2 linked regions of the Anolis sagrei genome follow. The protein of the gene in region 1 purifies or fractionates together with the protein of each later gene. This does not show direct contact. Links are inferred from orthologs where the notes say so. Each region holds a gene or a part of one and is shown on either strand. Other genes may lie near its edges.

Evidence for each region. Proteins that work in one complex are often made in the same cells at the same time.
Region 2: the proteins of SIRT1 (region 1) and JUN purify together in Homo sapiens (affinity purification with mass spectrometry; 4 studies listed by BioGRID and IntAct, with this or other methods). This does not show direct contact. The link is inferred for Anolis sagrei from reciprocal best matches to the Homo sapiens genes SIRT1 and JUN.

The regions. Positions count from the first base shown.
Region 1 is NC_090023.1:170,122,524-170,126,274, reverse strand, and holds the start of SIRT1 (NAD-dependent protein deacetylase sirtuin-1), read right to left. Parts: upstream 2,285-3,751; 5' UTR 2,246-2,284; coding exon 1,867-2,245; intron 1-1,866. UniProt on the Homo sapiens protein: NAD-dependent protein deacetylase that links transcriptional regulation directly to intracellular energetics and participates in the coordination of several separated cellular functions such as cell cycle, response to DNA damage, metabolism, apoptosis and autophagy.
Region 2 is NC_090024.1:169,479,527-169,483,277, reverse strand, and holds the start of JUN (transcription factor Jun), read right to left. Parts: upstream 2,355-3,751; 5' UTR 1,426-2,354; coding exon 481-1,425; 3' UTR 1-480. UniProt on the Homo sapiens protein: Transcription factor that recognizes and binds to the AP-1 consensus motif 5'-TGA[GC]TCA-3'.

The DNA.
Region 1 (3,751 bases):
GTCTTTCCACTGACCACCTTGATTAGCATACAATGGGCTGACTGTGCCTGGAGCAAACTCTTCTTGAAAGGTGATTAGATGTCCCTGCCTGTTTTTCTCTCTGCTGTTTTTTGCTGTTGCAATTTTAGAATTTTTTAATACTGGTAGCCAGATTTTGTTCATTTTCATGGTTTCTTCCTTTCTGTTGAAATTGTCCACATGTTTGTGGATTTCAATGGCTTCTCTGTGTAGTCTGACATGGTGGTTGTGAGAGTGGTCGAGCATTTTTGCGTTCTCAAATAACATGAAAGCACTGCAGGCACTCCAGGGTGGGACAAAGAACTCTTGTCTGTTGGAACTAGGTGTGAATGTTTCAGCTTCATGCAGAATTTCATTCAGACGTGGGTGAAGAAAGCAGACGGGCGGCGCAGTGGGTTAAAGCGCTGAGCTGCTGAGCTTGTTGACCAAAAGATCGCAGGTTTGAATCCGGGGCACAGCGTGAGCTTCCGTTGTCAGCCCCAGCTTTTGCCAACAGTTCAAAACCTTGGAAGTGTCTATGGACAACACCGGCTCTTCGGCTTAGAAATGGAGATGAGCACCACACCCGAGTCGGACACGATTGGACTTCATGTCAGGGGAAACCTTTACCTTTTACTAATTAAATAAATAGATTGATACTTTGAATATAAATGATCTGCACCATACAAAGGGGGAAATGATGTAAGAGTTCACACACTTTGCATAATAGCTGAAAATTAAAGAAAGCAAATTAAATAATCTGTTGAACACAGTAGACTATCAGTTTAACACAGAATTCTTTTTAGTCTACATAGGGACCACCAAACGCAGCGCCCAGACACGCATCAAGGAACATGAAAGGCACTGCAGACTACTCCAACCAGAGAAATCAGCCATAGCAGAGCACCTGATGAACCAACCGGGACATGGCATTTTATTTGAGAACACAAAAATGCTGGACCACTCTCACAACCACCATGTCAGACTACACAGAGAAGCCACTGAAATCCACAAGCATGTGGACAATTTCAACAGAAAGGAAGAGACCATGAAAATGAACAAAATCTGGCTACCAGTATTAAAAAACTCTAAAATTATAACAGCAAAAAAGCAGAGAGGAAACAACCAGGCACATCTTAACACCTCTCAACAAAAGATTCCCCCAGGCACTGCAAAGCCCTCAAATGCTACTTAAGGTGGTCAGTACTCAAGGCTTTCATGGTGCTTCTTTTTTGACTTGGGTGATGGTTCGAGTTTTTATGTAGATATCTATCTCTGTGTGTGGGTTTTCTGTAAACGGTGTCACCCAATTGTTGATCTGGTTTACGGATGACTAGGACATCTAGAAAAGGAAGTCTTCCTTCCTTTTCTTTTTCCATAGTGAACTGGATGTTTGGGTGGATGCTGTTAAGATGGTCCAGGAACCTGTTGAGTTCTTCTTCTCCATGGCTCCAAATGGTGAAGGTGTTTGCTCCAGGCACATTCAGCCCATTGTATGCTAATCAGGTGGTCAGTTAAAAGATTCACACCTAGCCCAACTTACAAAAGCCCTTTGTGTCACCCTGGTCATTCCACAGATATATAAACCCCCTTTTTTCCCAGCTCCAGCAGACCTCACCTCTGAGGATGCTTGCCATAGATGCAGGCGAAACGTCAGGAGAAATGCCCCTAGAACATGGCCATATAGCCCGAAAAAACCCACAAGAACTGAGTGATTCCAGCCATGAAAGCCTTCGACAATACAGAAAATTCTGTGTTTTCTGGTGGTCTTTGGTGACCCCTCTGACACCCCCTCGCGACCCCTCCAGGAGTCCCGACCCCCAGGTTGAGAACCACTGTGCTAGAGAGGCCACCCCGCAGAAGACTCACCGGCCTCTCCTCCTCCTTGCTGGGCCTCTCCGTTGGCAGACTGCGCCGCCCCGCAGCCAATGGCCGGCCCCGACGCGGCCTCCTCTCCGGCGCGCGCCGCCCCCGCCTCCTCCCCTCCGCTCAGCCGCGGCGGTTGGCGCTCCTCCTCCTCCTCTTCTTCCCTTCGGCCCAGGCCCCACCGCCTCGGCCCGTTCTCGGGGAGGCTCCATCCCCTGTCGTCGCCTCCTGCGGCCTCCTTCCCGCCTGAGGGGGCCTCCTCCGCCGCGGCTCCTTCGGCGACGGCCTCCTCCTCAGCCGAGCCCCGTCGAAGGCGCTTCGGAGCCGGCTCGGGACTGAGGCCGCCGCGGGGCTGGAGGCGCGGCGCCTCCTCGTCCGCCATCTTGGAGCAGGAGCGGAGGCTCCCTCCTTTCTTCCCCCCTCCCTCTCTTCCTCTTCCCTCCTCCCCCTCCCCTTCTCCCAGCGGCTGTTGACGAAAGAAAGAGGCAGAGATGCCCTCCTCCTCTTCCCCCCTCCTCTTCCCCCCTCCCCTCGCGCGACACGTGACCTCGCCGACGCCCACACAAGGCCGGGCCGCCTCAGCAGAGGCGGCGGCGACGACAACAAACCGAGTCACGTGACCGAGAGCGAGCAAGGGGCAGGGTTGAAGTAAAGACGATGACGGGAGCGCGCCTGAGCTCGCGCCCGCGGGAGAAGGCGGCAGGAGAGGGGAGGGTGTGCTGAGGAGGCTGCCGTCACGTGACCCTTGCTAATTTATGATGATGGATATCTAGCAGGGTTTTTTTTGGCCTGAAAGCAGTTTACAACCATTGTAAATACACACACGCACAAGCACAGTTTTATCTATGCTTGCCATAGATGCAGGCGAAACGTCAGGAGAAAATGCCTCTAGAACAATGGTTCTCAACAATCCTAATGCCGTGACCCCTTAATGTTGTTGTTATTGTTGTTCATTCGTTCAGTCGTCTCCGACTCTTCGTGACCCCATGGACCAGCCCACGCCAGAGCTCCCTGTCGGCCGTCACCACCCCCAGCTCCTTCAAGGTCAGTTCAGTCACTTCAAGGATGCCATCCATCCATCTTGCCCTTGGTCGGCCCCTCTTCCTTTTGCCTTCCACTTTCCCCAGCATAACTGTCTTCTCTAGGCTTTCCTGTCTCCTCATGATGTGGCCAAAGTACTTCAACTTTGTCTCTAGTATCCTTCCCTCCAATGAGCAGTCGGGCTTTATTTCCTGGAGGATGGACTGGTTGGATCTTCTGGCAGCCCAAGGCACTCTCAGAACTTTCCTCCAGCACCACAGCTCAAAAGCATCTATCTTCCTTCGCTCAGCCTTCCCTAAGGTCCAGCTCTCACATCTGTAGGTTACTACAGGGAATACTATGGCTTTGACTAGGCGGATCTTTGTTGCCAGTCTGATGTCTCTACTATTTTATCGAGATTGGACACTACTCTCCTCCCAAAAAGTAAGGGTCTCCTGATTTCCTGGCTACAGTCTGCATCTGCAGTCATCTTGGCTCCTAGAAATACAAAGTCTGTCATGGCCTCCACATTTTCTCCCTCTGTTTCCCAGTTGTCAATCATTCTTGAAAGCAGTTAACAACCATTTTAAATACACACACACACAAGCACAGTTTTATCTATGTTGTCTGTCTATCTATTAAACGTGCATGCAGTGCTAAAGTTAGAACACCATCGAATAAGATTAAAACCAGGATAAAACAGCTCAATAAATGATTTATTCTATCTAGTCATAGAATCATAGAGTTAGAAGAGACCTCATGGGCCATCCAGTCCAACCCCCTGCCAAGAAGCAGGAATATTGCATTCAAATCACCCCTGACAGATGGCCATCCAGCCTCTGTTTAAAAGCCTCCAAAGAAGGAGCCT
Region 2 (3,751 bases), on another chromosome or scaffold:
CTGGACTCTAAGGCAGGCAGTATAGTTCAGCTTCAGTCATTAGCCTCCCACAAACTCCCTCCCCACTTTTTTTTTTTAAAAAATGAGTACTAAGAGAAAGCAATCTACAGTATCTACTGCAGTTTAACCTTTAATACTGAATGATGATTGAATGTTAGGTCCATGCAGGTCTTGGTCAATGTTAAAAAGAAAGAAAGAAAAAGCTAACACCAGGCTTCTGTAGCCTTGTCTGAGCAGAAACAGCACTTCGGAGAGCTGTACTTCCAACTGACATGCCACCACCTCAGACAGAAAGGCACCCAGTCTCTTTCTCTCCATGCATGCTTTGGAAGTGGTGTTGGGAGTCGTGGAAGCGCTCTCTGGAACAATGCCTTTCCGGCTTGTCTTCCTGCCCCACAACCCAGGTGAGCTTCCCAACTCCCACCTCTCTTTCTTTTCGCTTAATTTTCACCCCAACGCAGTTTGCTTCCCACTCTCTTTTCAAAAAGTTTGCAACTGCTGTGTGAGCATGAGCTGGCACCCACTGTTGACGTGATTCATGACCTTCTGTTTCAGCTGCGCAACCTGCTCTCGCAGCATGTTTGCTGTGGAGGCAAGTTCCGAGTTCTGGGCTTTCAAAGTTTTCACTTTGTCTTCTAACCTGGCAATCCGCTCCAACTTTCTTTTCCGGCACTTGGAGGCGGCAATGCGGTTTCTCATGCGCTTCCTCTCCGCCTTGATCCTCTCCTGGGACTCCATGTCAATCGGTGACAGGGGAGGAGTCTCCCCAGGCATCTCTGGGACAGTCTGAGGCTCTTCTTTCAGAGCCTGGAGGCGGGGATGCTGCACCGGCATGGGAGGGTTCAGGTGATGTTGCGGAGGGTAGCCCAGGTTGCTGGCGGGGTAGTTAGGCGCCGTGCTGAGGGTGCTGGGGTTGAAATTGCTGAGGTTGGCGTAGACAGGAGGCTCGCTGTGCAAGCTGGCACCAAAGCCATTGTTTCCAGCCATGGAAGACACTGGGGCCATGCCAGAGTTGGCCGGCTGGGCAGCAGAGGTAACACTTGGCATGGTGTTTTGATTGTGCAGCTCTGCGAGAGCCCTGACAAAGCCTTCCGCAAAACCTTCTTGTTCGTCGGTGACATTTTTGGGACACAGGAACTGGGTCGGGGTGGGAGTGGTGGTGATCAGCCCGTTGCCAGACTGGATGATGAGCCTCTCAAGCTCAGGAGAAGCCAGCTTGAGGAGGCCCACATCGGGAGAGGTCAGCAGGTCGGCGTTCTTGTTCCTCAGGTGCGGCTTGAGGTTGCTGGACGGGTCAGCCAGATTGAGCGTCATGCTCTGCTTCAGGACTTTGGGATTGTTATATCCGTAAGTGCCACTTTCAGGCTGGACGAAGGTCGCGTTGATGGCATCGTCGTAAAATGTAGGTTCCATCTTTGCAGTCATAGAACACAGTCCACAAGTTTGCTCCCCTCCAGTTGAGAAACTAAGCAGCGAATTCAGTCACTTTTTGAAAAAAAAAGTTTATCAGAGTCAGTGCTGGCCACCAAATAAGTCAACAACAACAAAATATTATTCTGGGAGAACTCGAAGAATCAATGATTACAGTCTTACTTTTTCGCCACAAGGCATTGGCTTGTCAGTCCCTTCCCTCTGGGGAGTAAAGAGAGGCTGGTATCTCCAAGAGTACGAAATCCAGGCGCAAAGAGAGTGGAAGTCCAGCACAACTTACTTTTTCTCAAAGTATGGAGGCTCCCCACCCCCTCCGTCCCTGGTGGGAGTGTCCTGCGCCGAGTTGTTCAAACACACACTTGTTGAAGCCTCCCTTCTTTCTCAGGAGCGGCTGTCAGGGGGAGAAATGAAGTTTTCTAGGAAGCACACGGGAGAAGGAGAGGAAAAGTCTCGTTCCCAGAGTCCAGTCGGGAAAGAATGAGGCGCCACGACGCGTCCTCTCCTCTCAATCCCTGCTGATATAAAATGGAGGGCACCCCAAGAAGTTCAGGGTTCTCCCTTGGCCGCCTTTCCCCCTGAAGGGCCGCTCGGCGTCGTCTTCCCCTCACAGAGCGTCCCAAAAGCGAGGCAGGCTCCTTCTCCTCTTCGCCTTCTGAGGGGAACCGTGTGGCGGTGGCGGCGGCGGCGGCGAATGCTCCGGCTCTTCCTCCCTCTCGTGCCGCTTGCGCTCGCGCTTGCTTCAACTCTGAGCTCTTTCTCAGCGTGGAGTCCCAACACTTATCAGCGAGCAGTAACTCTCTAAAAATAGCCCATGATGTCACCCCGCGGCCTTCCCATTGGCTGCCGCCGCCGCCTCGCGGAGGGGAAGGGGGCGGGGCCAGGCCTGCCGCCGGCCTGTGCCCGTTTGCAAAGCAAAGGCGCCCATCTCCATGGCCACCCCACCCGGCTAGAAGCTTCTCCGCCGACGAGCCCCGCCCTTTCTTTCGTCGCTCGCGGGGCATTGTGGGATGAGGTAATGCCTAGGCTGCCGTTTGCAGCGGGGCATTGTGGGATGACGTATTGTTTTTGAATATCGGGTTACCCGCTTAAGGAGCTCCGGCGGGGTTGGCAGGGAAGGAGGGAGGGAGGGAGGAGGCGGAGGGGGAGGAGGCGCGCGCATGCGCACACGCGCCAGGGCAGGAGGAGGAGGGGGGCGTGTTGTAACATAACTAGGGAGATACCAAGTAGTGAACGGAGGTGTGGGGGGGGGGGGAGGTGGAAGGATCCACTTTGTGTTCCAAAGAGAGGCAAGTGACTATTATTCCGCAAATGGATTTACAAACTCACAAAATGACTGGGACCATTTTGAACTGCCCCTTGCCACCTATTTTTCATATATATTCTTGTTTAAACTTGGATCGTGTGTGCGTGTGTGTTTGGGACCCAAGTTTAAACAAGAATTCAAGAATATAATTAATATAATATAAGGGGCTTAACTTTAAAGAAGAATTCAAGAATATAAGGGACCCAAGTTTAAAGAAGAATTCAAGAATATAATAAATATAATATAAGGGACTCAAGTTTAAAGAAGAATTCAAGAATACAATATAAGGAACCTAAGTTTAAACAAGAATTCAGGAATATAAGGGACCCAAGTTTAAACAAGAATTCAATAATATAATTAATATAATATCATATAAGGGACTCAAGTTTAAACAAGAATTCAAGAATATAACATAATGTAATGTAATATCTGGGACCCAAGTTTAAACAAGAATTCAAGAATATAATATAAAATATAAGGGACTCAAGTTTAAATAACAATTCAAGAATATAATATATAATAAATGGGATCCAAGTTTAAACAAGAATTCATATATATATGAATTCTTGTTTAAATTTGGGTCATATATATTATATTATATTCTTGTTTAAACTTGGATCCCATTTATTATATTATAATATTCTAGAATTCTTGTTTATAATATAAGGGACTTTTATATATCTAAAAGCCGTCCCCTACCACACGTTGCTGTGGCCCAGTCTGGTGATCTGGAAAATAAAGTAACGAGAAAGTGTTGGTTTCTAATATATGTAATGTCTTTATGCTTGTGGGTAAACAGTATTTCTTGCTATTTCTTTGTGAGTGTTGATGTGGAGATTGTCTGGTTTGCCTAATGTGGAACATGCTACATATAATTGTCTTTTTTGGTGGAATCGCTTTCAAATCTATATCTCTCTCTGTGTGTGGATCATATATATCTATATCTATGGCTGGATGGCCCTTTGTCAGGAGGGCTTTGATTACGTTTTCTTGCGCTGGTGAAGGGAGTTGGATTAG